Caenorhabditis elegans: one gene and its partners. The protein of the gene in region 3 purifies or fractionates together with the protein of the main gene of each other region. This does not show direct contact. Each region holds a gene or a part of one and is shown on either strand. Other genes may lie near its edges.

Region 1 (6,431 bases), on a different chromosome or scaffold from region 3:
GTCCGTTTAAAGTCAAAAATTGCAAATTTTTTCATAGAGCACACACACAAATACTTCTAGAAAATGAGGAGGGAAAAAGTACATTCTAACGAAGGAATACACGAGGATTCGGGGGGAAAATCGATAAATCGATAATTTTTATGGGGAATTTATTTATTATTGATGAGTCGATTGGCCACTGTGTTCACGCTTGATGGGACGTTCTCGATTGTGGTGAATACCTGAAAAAAATTGAGTTTGAAATTGTTGGAAATGCGCTCCACTGCACTAGCTTGGGTCTCGCAGCGAAATCGCGTAAATTTGAAATTCCGGTGAAAAAAAACGGCAATTTCAGGTATTTTCTATGCTTTTTGAGTGGGAACTTGGAGAAAAGTGCGATAGAGCGCGTTTGCATTATTTTCGGATAATGTTTGAATTTCCTACAATATTTCTGGTCTCGCAGCGAAATCGTCGGAATTTTGCTAATGTCTGTAATTTTCTACGCGAAATTTTGAAAAAAAAGTGCCATGGAGTGTGCTTGCATTTTTTTTAAAAACAATTTCAGAATTTTCTCTGAATTTTGGACTAAAAATTGCGTTTTGCATTATCTTTCCTACAAAACCAGAAGTTTAAGACTTTTCGAGTCAGAAATTGGAAAAAAGTGCGATGGAGCGTACTTGCATTTGGTTAATTTTTGACGTGGAATTTTTTTTGAATTTCGCTTTTTGTGAAAAAAAGTGTTTTGCATTATTTTCAGCAATTTTCTCCAAAATTTGTGTCTTTTTGTCATATTTTTCCTAGTTTTAGGCACTTTTTTCGACGTTTAGCTCTGAAATTTGACTAAAAATGACTGAAAATTTATATTTTTCAATTTTTCAGATAGATTTTTGAAATTATGGAATTTCTTGAACGTTCGGCGCCAAATCTCCATTTTCCAGGACTTTTTTCCAACTTTCGCAGCAATTTTTCCGTGTTTCCTCTCAAAAATGCAGCCTACCGAGTCAACAGCACTGTTCCACTTTCCACCGGCCTTCAGCTGCACATCTTCGACTGTTGGGAGCTGAAAATAAGAAAAAAATTGCATTTTCAGAGAAAAAATCGATAAAACCTGCTCTGGAAAGACGACGGTGCCGGGAAGAATGTACTTTTTAAGCTTTTGATACAGTTCGCTGCCCTGAAAATGAAAATTTTCGTGGAAAAACGGGGGAAAACTAATACTTTAACATTGTTAGTCGACCAAATATCGTTATCGATTGACAGTTTGACGGCGCCGGCGACGAGTCCAACTTTAATTCCGAGTTTTGCAGTTTTCCACAAGAATCCCATGTTGCCGACCTGAAAATTCGAATATTTTGTGTGAAAAATCAGTTATTTTGCAACAAGACGTGAAAAATAAATAAAAAATCACAAATTCAAGAAGAAAAGTTCAGAAAAACTGAAAAAAAATCGGAAAAATAAAATGAACGTCGCGCGCACGAGAAATGCGCAAGCAAATCGAGACTCGCGTCAGAGCACGAGAAACGCGCCAGCCTCGTCTGCGTTTCTCTTCTCACAATGCTCTCTCTCACTGAAATAAGCTTATAAGCTTAAAAGTCTGCAAATCTTTAATTTGGCGAGGGATAATCGAAAATTTAAGCTCACAGATGCCTAGAAAATTAAATTTTAAGTAGATTATATTAAAATTTCATAAAAATAATGATAATTAACGGTATTTATTAAAGTTTTAGATTTCATCAAATTTTCAGACTATACTATAGTCTTGCAATTTTCAAAGAATTTTTCCTGCAAAAAACAAGTACAAAGCATTGATCAAATTAACACTATCAAGTTGACAGTGTCAACGTTTAATCCCCCAGCAGTATTTCCCTTAAATTGATCACTGCACTTTTCGTTATCACCACGAGCATCATAAATTTTTTTACTTATTTAAAATTCCGGTTTCTGATGCACCATGGTCAACTCGCCGGTTCCTGTCCGATTTCTGGTACTTTTTGAACTCAAAACCCCCGGAAAATTGAATTTTCACGATTTTTTTGCAGATTTTAATATGTGCCACACTGTGTTTGACCTCGATTCTTTCAAATATGAATACTTATAATTTTACAAAAATTTGTATGCAAGATGATAATAGTACTTCAACTTCAAAAGGTTTTTTTTTTAATTCGGTGGCCGAGTTTTTCCATTGGCGGCCGCCAAAATAGTTGATTTTTTCAGTGAACTATACCAAATCAGAGTCGAATTTTCTTCAATCGTGTGTGGCTATTGGAAGTCTTGCCGCCTCGATTCCATTTTCCATTTCTTTTCAACATTTGCCGCATAAACCTGTCTTCATTGTCGCCGGAATTATTTCGGGAGGTATGACGTCAATCGTGGCCGCGAAAAAAAAAAATATCGGTGGCCGAGTTTTCTGTAGTTTTTATTTGTTTCGAGAAAACTGACTAATTTCTATAGACTAATTTTATAAAAACTGTGCATTTTGTCGTCAGATCCAGTGCATGCGTATTTTCAAAGCTACAGTACCCCAAAAAGCATGCATCGAAAGCATACAAAATTTTTGAAATTGATCGTCAAATATGGTGTATTGCACAGTGGGCGTTGAATTTGACGCGCAAAACAATAATCTGATTTTTCGAAACAAAAACATGGTGCATGAAGCACAAAAAATTGTGAAAAATTCCGCGTAAGCACGTGGTGTCAGGCTGTCCCATCACGGTTTGATCTACAAAAAATGCGGGAATTATTTGCCCGAAAATATGTGACGTCAGCACGTTCTTAACCATACGAAATCAGTTGAGAACTCTGCGTCTCTTCTCCCGCATTTTTTGTAGATCTACGTAGATCAAGCCTAAATGAGACACTCTGATACCACGTGCGTAAAATACTGAATTAAGTATTTAAGAATCATATTTTACGCGCAAAATAAAACAGATTTCACGAATTTTTCTGAAATTAAAAAAAAATTATCGATTTTTCAAAAATTATTGACATTTATTGTCCGAGAGGAGTACACCAAGCATCATTAGAGCGCGTTTCCATTTTTTAAATTTTAAAATTGCGCGTCAAATATGATGTATTGCACTCAATTTTTCCAGTTTCAACAGCCCTTATCCCGTTGGCAAGTACCATTGGCTACGGATGGTTTGTGGCCGCCCGTATTTGTCAAGGAATGGCATTTTCAGCCACATTTCCCCTCGCTGGCTCAATTACAGCAAATTGGGCGACCCCATACGAGCACGGAGTATTCATTGGCCTATTAACCGGAAATACACAACTTTCAAATATATTTACAATGCCAGTTTCGGGATGGTTATGCTCTTCGTCTGGTGGATGGACGTCGGTTTACTATGTGCACGCCGGTGTATCGTTGGTCACTTTTTCGCTGTTTTTCCTATTTTTCAAGTGCTCGCCGAGTGAGCACAGTTGGGTTGGCGAGAAGGAATTGGAGAGGATTCGAGAAGGGAAATCGGGAAAGAAAGTGAGTGCAAACGCGCTCTACCGGACACAAATTATAACTAGATTTTGGAGCGGAAAAAAACCTGAAATTGTACCACGTATCATTTTTGAGAAAAACGCGCCCGAAGGACTACGGAAAGCCCAAGCCTAAGCGCACGTGGTGCCTGGCTGTGCTATTACGGTTTGATCTACCAAAAATGCGGGAATTTTTGCCCCAAAAAATGTGACGTCAGCACACTCTTAACCATGCGAAATCAGTAGAAAACTCTGCGGCTCTTCCCCCGCATTTTTTGTAGATCTACGTAGATCAAGCCGAAATGAGGCACTCTGACACCACGTGTAAGCCTAAGCCTAAGCCTAGGCCTACGCCTAAGCCTATGCCTTAGCCTATGCCTAAACCTAGGACTGAATTAGTGGGTTCCTCGGGGTACGCAATTTGTCGACAATTAAGACGTTCCCTCATTAGTATGAGAAAATCCCAAATTTTTCTAAAACTGCTAGCAAGGTAAATGGGTTTCATGTACGCAAATTTGCTTCAACTTCAAGATTTTTTACATGAGAGTAACCGAGTTTTCAAAACCTCGGCCACCACATCGCATTGCATGGCCTAACTTTTCACGGGCTTCGAATTTCCCCCATGTTTTCAAATGGAAGAGGTGGCCGTGAAAAAAGCGAACCTCGACCGGGGGTCGCGACCTGCGACAAACAGGAAAACTCAAAAAAAGTAGCGACAGTACGAAATTTCTTTGAGTTTTCCCGTTTGTCGCGAGTCGCGACCCCCGGTCGAGGTTAGCTTTATTCACGGCCACCTCTTCCATTTGAAAACATGGGGGGGGAAATTCGAAGCCCGTTACTTTTTCGTTTTGCAGGTATCCCGGCCAAAAAATCTTCCATTCCGTCATATTCTGACAAGTTTAAGCCTGTGGGCTTGTTGGATCGCATCGTTTGGAGATTTGATAACAGTTCAATTGGTATCCCAATTCAATCCGCAATATATGAAAAATTATTTGAACTATGACGTACTTTCGTCCGGTTTTTTGGCCGCCTTACCCATTATTTTTCAATTTTTTACGAAATTATCGTCGGGAATTATTAGTGATTATATTAAGTGAGTTTTTCGGGGGTTTTTCCTGGAAAAATAATTTTATAATTGTGAAAAAAATCAGTGGCCGAGTTTTTCCTCTCTACGGCCACCAAAAATCAATATTCCAGATTCATCTCAGAAACTCTGAAAACTAAAATTTTCAACACAATCGCTCTGGCCGTGGCCGCCGTTTTTTTCATCGTTCTAGCATTTATTCCACAGGAAAAACACTTGCTGGCTATTATTATAATGGTGAGTGGGTGGTGGTGGTGGCCTAGATAGGAAAACTCTTCCAGTGGGACAAGTGCGCTCAATTGATAATCCACGTTGAAAATAACCGATTATCAACATAGCGCACATACATCCATGGCCTAGTTTTCCTATTCTCTTCCATCATTCCAGATTTGCGCCGAAAGTGTGATGGGGTGCAATACGGCGGGATTCAACAAGTGTGCCACGTTGCACTCCCAGCAGTACGCCTATTTCGCAATGCAGCAGGTAAGGGGGTGGCCGAGAAAATTTTTAGGCCAACGATTTCTCTTCCAGATCATGAACATCTGGGCTTGCACGATATTCATCGAACCGTTTTTCGTCAATATGATTGTTACTGATGATACGTGAGTTTTTAGGGTATTCATGTAGGCACGCAGGCATGAGGAATGCAGGCAGGCATAGGTAAACTTAAAGGCAGGCATGTAGGTATATACGGTCTAGAAAAAAAAACACGGTAAGCGTAGGTCACTTTGGAGGCAGGCAGGAAGGCATAGGCATAGATAACCTATGTGAGCTGGACCGGCGTAGATTCCCTAAAAGACTATCGAAAAGGCAGATAGCATTAAAAGCAGGTAGATAGGCACAGGGTACATTGGGGTAGACGTAGATAGCATGTAGGCTGACCTAGGCCACCTTGAAAGCAGGCAGTTGACCTACATAGTTTGTAAGGTAGGCATAGGCCTAGAAGGCACTGACAAAAATGCAGGCAAACCAGCATAGGTCTCACTTGAAGGTAGTCAAGTAGGTAGGCAAAGGTCCCCTGCAAGGCAGACGTAGGCAGGCAGGCGTAGGTCCCCTAAAAGACAAGATTATTTTTTTCAGATTCACAGACTGGCGTAATTGTTTCCTGGCGCATGCGGGCTTACTTCTCTTCGTAAATACTATATTCTGCCTGTTTGCCGACGCCTCGCCAGCAAAATGGACCAGATTACAAGATGATGACGTGGCAATTGAGGAGGAAAAAGAAGAATATTCTGGAAGTATTGAAGATATTATTAAGTTGTAAAAGTTGTACACTACTGTATAAATTGTAAAAGTGTTCCGAAGATTTTCGGCGCCCCAATAAAATTGAATGGCTTCTAGCTGAAGCTTACCTCCTCCCTATGAAATTTATGAAAAAAAATTTGCGGACATTTTTCTATTATTATTATTACGTAAATGCCCCAATTTCTACCACAAATTCTTATAGTTTTGCAGTTTTTTGTAAAAAATTCGGAATTTTGTATTGGTGGGAGCAAGTGTCAGAGCTCCATGTGCTATTCGTGAGTTTTTTTAAAATCTTGTCTAGAAAATACTGTAATTAACATAGAAATAGGGCATTTGAAACATGGCCTAGGAAAAACTATTGGTGGCCGAGTTTTTTTCCGTAGCTGTGAAAAGTGAAAAACGAAAAACCTCGGCCACCATTCAACTTTTTGGAGCATTTTTACAATTTGGAAAATTTAAATTTTGGTGGAATTTTCTAGGCCACGCAGTAGAATTCTAGGCCACTTGACGAATTCTGGATTAAAAATTGATTATAATTTTGATTTTGCAAAAATTGAGAAAAAAAAACCAGAAAAATAATTTTTAATTTTAAAATTTACTATCAATTGAGTTGTTTTTTTTAATTTTCGAAATGAGCAAATTTTCAAAAGCCTTG
Region 2 (3,833 bases), on a different chromosome or scaffold from region 3:
GGTTGACGAGTTGTTAACCCCTTTGCATTGACACTCCAAGGTTTATTTGAATTTGAGGAATAGAAACATTAGAGAATAATGGAACAAAACATTTGAGAAATTCAATGTGGAAATGAGAAAAACAACTTATGACGAATTTCAGGATATCAAAAATTTAATTGTGAAGTGTTCAAGGATTTTAAATACCATCTGGATGGAGAATGGAAACACAGTGATAGATCATTCAATTTTATGAAAAAAACACAGATGACTCAAAAACTTTGAACTACAGTTGCCATGTGTGCCAAATGTTGAATGTATGATACATCATTGAAAGCGGCCAAACTAGACTGGTGGAGCTGGCGTGCGATCTGAAATATTTTCAAAATCATATCTCTAATTAACTCGAATTGTTGTACAGAAGTTGGCTCAAAAAACCCAGAAGTGCACAAAATCATTTTTGTCTATTGCAGTGTATGAGCTCTGAATTTCCAGCGTAAATATATGTTTTTGTAATTTGCATTCGGTCAAGATTTGGTCACTTTATCTTTTTTATCTCAAGATCATTTATATCGTATTTCTCTTTGATTTGATTATACCTTTACAACTAGATAAATAAACAAATATATACATATAGTAAATAGTATTTTGAATTGAAGCTCTATCAATCTGTGATTCAAACTATCTCAACAAAACATAATTGAGAAATAACCAAATTGTTTAATCGAGTTCTTTTTTCTTGTTTCATTCATTAAAACACGTTCCAAGTTTTTAAACTCTTCACAAGCCACCACCAATCCAATAAAAGCAATACTTATTCATCTTTTATGTATCAGAAAAAAAAAGATTATTGATCAGGAAAAGAAAGTGAAATCGGACATTTGGTCATCACAATAAAAAGAGAAAAAGCGATAAGTTCTTTACAATTACTATCCATCATTCCCGATTATTCTCGCTTTTTTCCGGAATTTTTTGTCATTCCGAGTGAATGCTAATGTTGACATTGATTTGGGATAAATATCCATAAGTCATCCATCAATTGTTGCTTCATCTTTCTTTTCTTTCAAACTTTGAAAAATGCATTAAAAAACAGTTGGTAAACAAAACTATAGATATTTATTTTCCAAATCGTTTCTGTGAAATTTTACTGAAATAGATCCATTTGCTTTTCCTTAGGTTTGAAATTTTCACAGTAAACAGCTAATAAAAATTGAGAAGAAGATAAAGCAAATAACAGATTTTGAGAAGTATTGAGTTCTGTTTGTTTGTTATATATTTTCACTACTTTGGAATTTCTGAAAGCAAAACAGTTCCGAAGTATTGGTGGAAATAACAATAACAGGAACGATTTCTCTGGGTATTTATCTGTACTAGTATCCATTTCAGGAAGCTCAAATACTAACTCTAGACATCTCAGATGTTTGTTCAATCACTCTCCCGTCATATTTTCCTTTTCTCTCTCTTCATCTCCACCACGCCCTTCTTCTCAACATCTCTGCGCATCCACAAACTTCCATATTCCGCCTACTCTTTTTCTCTAGCAACTCTCCACTTAATGGATACTGTACAGAAGGTGTATAGATGGGTATAAAAGTGGATGGGTGATAGGTGGCAGTCATCAGTCTCGAAGTTGTAGAATCGAGAGAGATACGAAAATGGCACTTTGGCAGCTCACATTTGCGGCTCTTTTTGCGTTCGTCGCTGCTCAGCCAGGTTTGCTTCTAGTTTCTCATCATAATTTTTTATCTCAGCAGTTTGAAAATAGAACTACTGGATACAATTTTCCAATACCGAATATCAACATTTCCAGGACCGAAAATGGTTGACGAAACGACTCGCTGGAGTCAATGTAAAGACACAAACCAATCTATTTACGATTTCCAGGTAAATTTGAAATTTGAAAGGAGCTTTTGTTATCCATAAATTGGTTTAGGTAGAAACACTACAAGGAGAATACACAGACCTTAGTCAATACCGTGGACAGGTGCTTCTCATGGTCAACGTTGCTACTTTTTGCGGTGAGTTGTCTTATAATATCTCTCTCTCTCTTTTTTTTGTTTAGAAGATTTAGAAGATTATAAGATTCATGAGATCTCATCCCATTTCCGGCTTTTGCAAAAGATGCAACCCAAACCATATCACTTTTCTCCAAAACTTGGCCGAAACAGATAGACTATATCATAACGAACATGTTTTCAGAGAAAAAATTTATTAAAAAATTGTCTCACACCCATTTTTATACTCAGGATTTTTTAGTATATAGATTATCACGATTCTTTTCGATTTTCGAATGTTAAAAAGAGATAGAAACATTTCCCAAAACAATTCTACCGATGGAACATATGGCTGATTGCTTAACACGTTCGACGCCATTCGGTCGTTTATCAATGTCTATTTGAACCTTATAAACAACGATGAAAATTGAAACAATTCTAGCGTACACCCAGCAATACACGGATTTCAACCCCCTTATCGAGAAGTACCAATCCCAAGGATTTACTCTCATTGCCTTCCCATGCAATCAATTCTATTTGCAAGAGCCAGCTGAGAACCATGAACTGATGAATGGAATAATGTATGTTCGTCCTGGAAACGGATGGAAGCCACACCAGAACTTGCACATTTATGGAAAGCTTGACACCAACGGAGACAACCAACACCCAATCTACGAGTTTGTCAAGGTCAGTTTTAGACCATTACCGCCAACTAGTCAGGGGGTCATTTCCTTTATTCGTTTCTTTACACCAAGGTCAAACAACAAAATAATATGTTTCGGGGGTAGGAATTGAACACAACAAAAGAATGGCATTGTGTTCAGTTTACACTGCCAATGGTCTCTTCTACATTCTCGACCATTCGGCAATCATTCATCTTATTTTACATTGCAGGAGTCTTGCCCACAAACTGTTGACAAAATTGGAAAGACTGATGAATTGATGTACAACCCAATTCGTGCTTCTGATATCACATGGAACTTCGAGAAGTTCCTTATTGACAGAAATGGACAACCAAGATTCCGCTTCCACCCAACTGCTTGGAGCCACGGAGATGTTGTCACTCCATTCATTGAGCAACTCCTTGCTGAGCCAGCTAATTAATTGGTTATTAACTAATTGACAATCATTGATTTCATTCCAATGTGTGTGTATACTTTCGTAGTACCGACCCACATGTCAATCAGGGGTTGCTTTGTTCTTGTATAGCGAATATCATAAGATATTGTGCTTCTCCACGTTTTAATTGCCTCCGGGTTTTTCTCCGTTCCTGTATTTACGTTCCGTCGAAATAAAGTAGAATATCACATTAATCATACTTTTCATGGAAAAATTAAAAAAAAAATTGCTCGCACAAATACATTAATCGAAAAGAGTTTACTACTAAATTTGAATTATTCTGCTATTTTTTTCAGTACACAGTGCATATATTGGATAAACTGACACTGGAAGCAAAATTGGATAATCTAGCTTTGTTATACAAACAGAATACTGTTTTAAATTGCATGATTAAAAACGAATGTGTTCAGCAAAAACATTCGAGATAAAAAAGATATCTCTATACCTATTCCTGTTCCTGATATACCTGTCTATCATAACCTTATATTTTTAAAAGCAAATTTTTTAGCCAGAATACGTTAATAGTTTTTAAATCCGCCTGAAGAAATAAACAAATATCACGTCCAGTTTGAATGAATATATAAATGAAAGTTACACTTATTTTTTATGTGTGGTATTATACAAATACAAAAAGGAATTTTTCACCCTTTTGTTCCATAATTTGTTATGTTCACCCTAAGTGATTAGTTCACAGGTATGAGTGGTGAAACTGTTTCGGTTGCAATATTTTGGATACCGCTC
Region 3 (5,891 bases):
ATATACTTTCTGCAAATGTTTGCATTTGAAAAAAATACGAAGTAGGTGGTCTGAAAATATTAACTATCACTTTTGAAAAATTAGTCATTTTTTAAATTTCTTTTGTAACATATTTTCAATGCTCCAATTTTCAATTTTGCAGAAACAAACGTGATCTGTTTCATTATCTTGATAAAAGTTAGCAACATTGAAACTTTACAATGCTTGTTTCTGCCGCTCTTTCACATCTCGTGATTGTGTACAGGGAAAAATTTAAATTAAATTTTTACCATGCCCCCCTGCAAAGATATTGATAAGAGTTGGGGAACACTTTTTTAATGGGGATGTTGCAAGCTTGACGTTTTTTAGAAAATCGCGCGAAAAAAAAAACTGTACGATGAAAGTTTTTGAGTTTTTTTTCGTATCACCCACCCATCCTGATGTTCTCTCCACTATGGGTGGTATGTCATGAGTCGGCCGTCGGACCACCCATACAGGGGTCTTAAAGTTTCGAATTTTTGTCAAAATTTGGGATTGCTCCTATGGAGCTGGAATTTGACATACGTACTCATCTCGTGATTGTGTACAGGGAAAAATTTAAATTGAATTTTTACCATGCTCCCCTGCAAAGATATTGATAAGAGTTGGGGAACACTTTTTTTCAAGGGTGTCATCTTTGACTTCGCATATCTCAGGATATGTTAACGGGATTGTTTTGAAAATCACGGAACATATGTACTAATACTTGCTGAACATGATAATTTTGTCGGACCTTCCAAACTCGCAACCGTTCGCCCAACCGATACGATTGTCTGTTTATCAGCTTGCTGAGAGACTGTTTTTCACACAGCTTCAAAATGTTCAACTAATGTTTTATCAATTTTTTAAGGGTTCATTTGATAACTTGCTGACAAGTAGAATGCGTACAAAAAATCCGCCAAAATCCCATCTTGGACCACGACTTATCGGTTATTATCAGTTATTATTACTTTCGATCGTGTAGACATCAGGAAGTACACCGAGACCCAAATTTTCAACGAAATCGAAAGCCATAATTACTGTGAGCAGATTCCACCCAAAACCCGCTTTTGAAACGGTCCTCATCAAGAGATATATGCTTATCAATTCGGGTTTTTTTTAAATACTTTTTTTCATATTTAAACAGAAAAAAAATAGAAAATACTTTTCCATCGAAGCTTTTTGTCAACGATTTTTTTGATTTTCAAATTGTGTCCACGAACAGAAAACTATATCGAAAAAAATTAGTGCGTGGTTAAAAACTTACTGAAACAGATAAAATGTATTGAGAATGTCATAATTTCAAAATTTTTTCGAAATTGAAAATTTGAAATACTGCAATTTTTTGGTGCATTCAGTGTTGTACTACACATATTCGCACTTCAAAATATTTGGAAAAAATTATTTTCAATAACTATTAAAAATTTGAAACATTAATCTATGTCTTTAAATGTTAGCCAACAATTTTTTGAAAAACGGCTAAAAATTAAAAAAAAACTGTTTCAGATTATTAGTAAGTTCATTATGTTAAGAAAACTTTTCATTATGTTAAGAAAACCCTCGACTTTTCTATTTACCTTCTCAAATCTTCATTTTTGAAAATTCATTTTGTGAAAAGTTTTTTAAATAGCACTTTTCAGTTTTCTTCAACGTATTTTAACTAACTCGCTGTGCACTACTAATAGGGGATGACCAAATCTTCAAAATAATTCCAATTTCCCATAGCATGTTGCCCAATGATAAATGTATACCTAAACAGGTTTCCTGTTTCACATTTATCTTATTACACTGTTCACTTCTGTTTCTGCCCCTGTGATCAACATCACACAAAAAAGTTATTTCTCAGAAAAATATTATTTTTCTGTTTCATAATCTTCATATATTTGTGTCTAAATATGAAATTACTGATTCTCCAGTTGACTCTATTTCAACTCAATTCAATTTTTGCACAAGACAATGCGGCGGACTTGGAATTCTCCCCGTATGTGTTCAAACACGTGGATATTCCATTTAAAAATGTTAGTTTGCATCGGTTCCGTTACCGATTTAAAATAGAAAAGTCGAGGGCCCCGGAAAATGTCGGGCATTGTGAAATATTATTTTTTAGTCTTCAATGGCCAATTGAGACCAATTGAGTAATTTTTCTTAACATAATGAACTTACTAATAATCTGAAACAGTTTTTTTTTTTAATTTTTAGCCGTTTTTCAAAAAATTGTTGGCTATCATTTAAAGACATAGATTAATGTTTCAAATTTTTAATAGTTATTGAAAATAATTTTTTCCAAATATTTTGAAGTGCGAATATGTGTAGTACAACACTGAATGCACCAAAAAATTGCAGTATTTCAAATTTTGAATTTTGAAAAAATTTTGAAATTATAACATTCTCAATACATTTTATCTGTTTCAGTAAGTTTTTAACCACGCACTAATTTTTTTCGATATAGTTTTCTGTTCATGGAGACAATTTTGAAAATCAAAAAAATCGTTGACAAAAAGTTATTGTAAGCTTCGATGGAAAAGTATTTTCTATTTTTTTTTCTAAAAATAAATTTTTCAGTTTGAAAAAATTAGTATGAATTTTATGGACATATTGATTGAATTCAGACAAAATTAAAATTAATAACTAATTTTCATGAAACAGTAATTTTTTTTAATTGAAAAATGAATTTTTAACAATACGAAGCTGTTTGATTTAGTTTATTTTTGAAATAGTTTGATGTCCTGATAGTTAATTTTATTTCCGGAGGGAAATCTATTTGCATTCACAAAATTTGACTATTTCAAACCATTTTTAAATTGACAGCAAAATTTCTAAAGATAGTGATTGTTTGGCCACAACATTTCATATAAAAAAATTAAATTTTAAATTAATGACAGGAAAATATATATGTTTCCAGAAATTTGAAAATTGATTTTTTAAAGAAAAAAATTAATTTGAAATAAAATTTGTATTTTCTTATTTTAACCACAAGAAATAAAAAAACCGCTTGTTCAGACATATTTCATGTACATGTGAAGCTACAAATTGCTAATTTTTTTTCGGTTTCGTCCGTTCTATAATAATAAATAAAAAATAGAAATCCTTCTTCAACTAATGGAAATAGTGAAACTGAATTTTTTTTTTGCAAAAAAAAGTTGATCTCACCACACATAACTTTTTACGGAGATTTCAAAATGCAAGTTCCACACAAATTTAAACACTGAAAATTCCTGCAACAACAATAAATATTATAATGACTACAGTACTCTTTAAAGGCACACGTATTTTTGGACCTGAAGAAACGCGAATCGTAGTGTTTTCTTTTTCAAACCTTGAGAATTAATCACAGTTTTGAAACAGTAATTTTTTGATTTAAAAAATCCGAAAAAATTTCCTGTTTCAAACAGCTGCCAAAATCAAAAAACTTTCAAATAATTATTATCATCTAGTCATTGATTCATCGATTTTGTTAATAAGCTTTCCATTGTTTTCTTTTCAAATTTTTGGCGTTCGAAAGTGAAAAATCTTTTTTCTTAAAAAATGTCTTTGTGATTTTTATTTTATCATTTTCGGGTGAGAAATAATGTTTTTTTAAGCAATGAAACATCTTCCAAAACTTATTAAAAATGTTTGAATTCACTGGTTTACCGCCAAATACATACACATCGAGACCCGACTGTTGATAACGGGGGCGTTTTTAATTGGCCGTGGAGCACATTTGCAATTTTTAAATTGCAATAATAGCAAGTTTTTGGGGAACCTAACTGTTTTTCTTTTGAAATTGGGTAAATTATAAAGAAATGCATTTCGAAATGTTAAAACTATATGTAGTTTCTTTTCGATTTTTGAAAAAAAAACATCCTGTTTCAAAAATTTCAGAAATTAGTACTCAAAAAAATTTCTATGAGGATTAATTGTATTTTAGGGCAAAAATCAGAAACAATATATTCAACAAGTTAAAAAGTCCATAATACTGTTTTCTTTTACAAACTTTGAAAATTAATCACAATGTTGAAACAGTGGATTTTTTTTTCAATGAAAAAAATCCAAAAAAAATTTCCTGTTTCAAAAAGTTGTCAAAATCAAAAAACTTTCATCTCTCTATTATCTCACATCTATTATCATCAATTCTTGATTTGGTTAATACAGTGCATATTTTCCAACTTCTACGAAAGGCGCGCGCATTTTCGCGCAATGGTCTCGCCACGCGCATCCCATTGATTTGACGGGACCATTTTGTATAAATGCGCGCGCCTTTAAAGTCGTAGAAGTGGAAAAAAATGCACTGTAAGTTTTCCATTGTATTTTTTTCAAATTTTGGACGTTCGAAAGTGAATAATGTTTGTTTAAATAATTTGTTTATTTTATCGATTTCGAGTGAGAAATAATGTTTATTTTAGCAATGAAACATCTTACAAAATTAATTGAAAATGTTTGAATTTACTGTAGTACCTACAAATACCCATCGAGACCCAACTGTTGGGGGCGGGGGCGTTCTCAAATGGCTGTGGAGCACATTTGCAATTTTTTAATTGCAACAATAGCATGTTTTTAGGGAACCTAACTGTTTTCCTTTTGAAATTTGGTTAATTATAAAGAAATGCATTTCGAAATGTTAAAACAACATGTAGTTTCTTTTCGATTTTTGAAAAAAAAATTCCTGTTTCAAAAATTTCAGAAATTAGTACTCAATATAAAAAAGACAACAAATCGGCAAAACAAATTGAAAAGTGTTTAATTTACTGTTCTGCCGATAGATACCTAACGAGACCCAACTATTGGGAGGCGGAACGCTTTCAATTGACCGTGGAGCGCATTTGCACGTTGAAAAATAAAAGAAAAATTCCTCGAACATGGGAAATTAATGCCTACAGTACTTATTAAAGGCGCACACTTTTCCGGAATAAATATCAAAGGAACTGTTTTCCTTTTAAAATAGGGGAAATTAATAAGATAGTTGAAACAGTAATTTTTTTCTTTTTTTGAAAAAAAAATCCTGTTTCAAACAGATCTCAAATTAATATTAAAATTTCTATTACGATTTTCCTATCAAATTATGTGCCTATTCAGAACAACTACGCAAAAGACTGGTTCGGCTCCGACGTGGCTCTCGTACAACATCCATTACTAGGTGAGAAGCTTCATCTCCAGCTTAAAATCCAAATTTCAAAAAATTTCCAGCTCCTGCAAAATCAGTAAAGCCAGGAAATCCGGTGTCACTGCCAACAATTGCTCCATTAATTGTGAAATGGTCAGATTTGAACAATGTCAAAGTTAATGAACAAATCGGACAGAATTTCGAAAAGAGAATTGATTCACATGTTTGGTGGCCGAATAAGTAGTTGAAATTTCCAATAAAAATCTTTTGTTTTAAAATGAATAGGCAATCAAAGGCAAATACAAAGAAAAGCACCTGATCTGTGGGGGAAATGTATAAGAACAGAGCGAGAAATTGTACAAGAATGGGTGAGGAGAAGTGTATTATGTTATAAGTACACCGGAAACCTGTAGGGAAAAAAACGGAAAAAAAAGGAAAAAAATAAAATAATTTAGAAAATAAGGCATCATCAAACACGATCATAACACACACAAAACGTCGCGAGATAATAATTTTTGTCGATAATACAATGCGGAGTGTCGCCAAACTTGTTCACGTGGCTCATTGATCCAAAATCCAGCTTCACCTCATCTCGTACAATATCGTAGAACAGGGTAACTTCGTAGATCGCTTCTCCGGGAGTTGTCTGCAGCTTCAGTTGATAATGAGCGAATGCGGCTTTCGTGGAACCTGAGAGGTCAGGCACAAAACCATCGGCATCTTTCACGTTTTTGTAGGCGAGTAGGCCTTTGTCGGGGAGAAGTCTGGAAATTGGAAATTGGCATTTTCAGAAAAAAAATTCAATTTTCAT

Evidence for each region. Proteins that work in one complex are often made in the same cells at the same time.
Region 1: the proteins of Y41E3.22 (region 3) and W04C9.6 fractionate together in Caenorhabditis elegans (co-fractionation; one large-scale study listed by BioGRID). This does not show direct contact.
Region 2: the proteins of Y41E3.22 (region 3) and gpx-5 fractionate together in Caenorhabditis elegans (co-fractionation; one large-scale study listed by BioGRID). This does not show direct contact.

Annotation. Positions count from the first base shown.
Region 1 is NC_003279.8:483,490-489,920, reverse strand, and holds W04C9.6 (MFS domain-containing protein), read left to right. Parts: upstream 1-1,528; 5' UTR 1,529-1,930; coding exon 1,931-1,963; intron 1,964-2,018; coding exon 2,019-2,127; intron 2,128-2,193; coding exon 2,194-2,334; intron 2,335-3,071; coding exon 3,072-3,454; intron 3,455-4,301; coding exon 4,302-4,540; intron 4,541-4,644; coding exon 4,645-4,768; intron 4,769-4,918; coding exon 4,919-5,014; intron 5,015-5,062; coding exon 5,063-5,133; intron 5,134-5,611; coding exon 5,612-5,795; 3' UTR 5,796-5,882; downstream 5,883-6,431. Other genes in the region: W04C9.2 (MICOS complex subunit MIC13), read right to left, coding at 150-221, 977-1,039, 1,088-1,153, 1,198-1,305; W04C9.9 (Zinc finger protein), read left to right, coding at 6,041-6,051.
Region 2 is NC_003284.9:9,583,061-9,586,893, forward strand, and holds gpx-5 (Glutathione peroxidase), read left to right. Parts: upstream 1-1,607; 5' UTR 1,608-1,634; coding exon 1,635-1,692; intron 1,693-1,789; coding exon 1,790-1,863; intron 1,864-1,912; coding exon 1,913-1,997; intron 1,998-2,415; coding exon 2,416-2,660; intron 2,661-2,867; coding exon 2,868-3,077; 3' UTR 3,078-3,284; downstream 3,285-3,833.
Region 3 is NC_003282.8:14,948,873-14,954,763, forward strand, and holds Y41E3.22 (Peptidase), read left to right. Parts: upstream 1-1,837; 5' UTR 1,838-1,892; coding exon 1,893-2,015; intron 2,016-2,107; exon of another isoform or gene 2,108-2,128; intron 2,129-2,446; exon of another isoform or gene 2,447-2,468; intron 2,469-2,575; exon of another isoform or gene 2,576-2,596; intron 2,597-2,823; exon of another isoform or gene 2,824-2,844; intron 2,845-3,034; exon of another isoform or gene 3,035-3,069; intron 3,070-3,274; exon of another isoform or gene 3,275-3,295; intron 3,296-3,418; exon of another isoform or gene 3,419-3,442; intron 3,443-3,934; exon of another isoform or gene 3,935-3,955; intron 3,956-4,087; exon of another isoform or gene 4,088-4,108; intron 4,109-4,688; exon of another isoform or gene 4,689-4,709; intron 4,710-4,880; exon of another isoform or gene 4,881-4,901; intron 4,902-5,023; exon of another isoform or gene 5,024-5,045; intron 5,046-5,051; exon of another isoform or gene 5,052-5,052; coding exon 5,053-5,113; intron 5,114-5,163; coding exon 5,164-5,324; 3' UTR 5,325-5,354; downstream 5,355-5,891. Other genes in the region: Y41E3.1 (Sulfatase domain-containing protein), read right to left, coding at 5,550-5,844.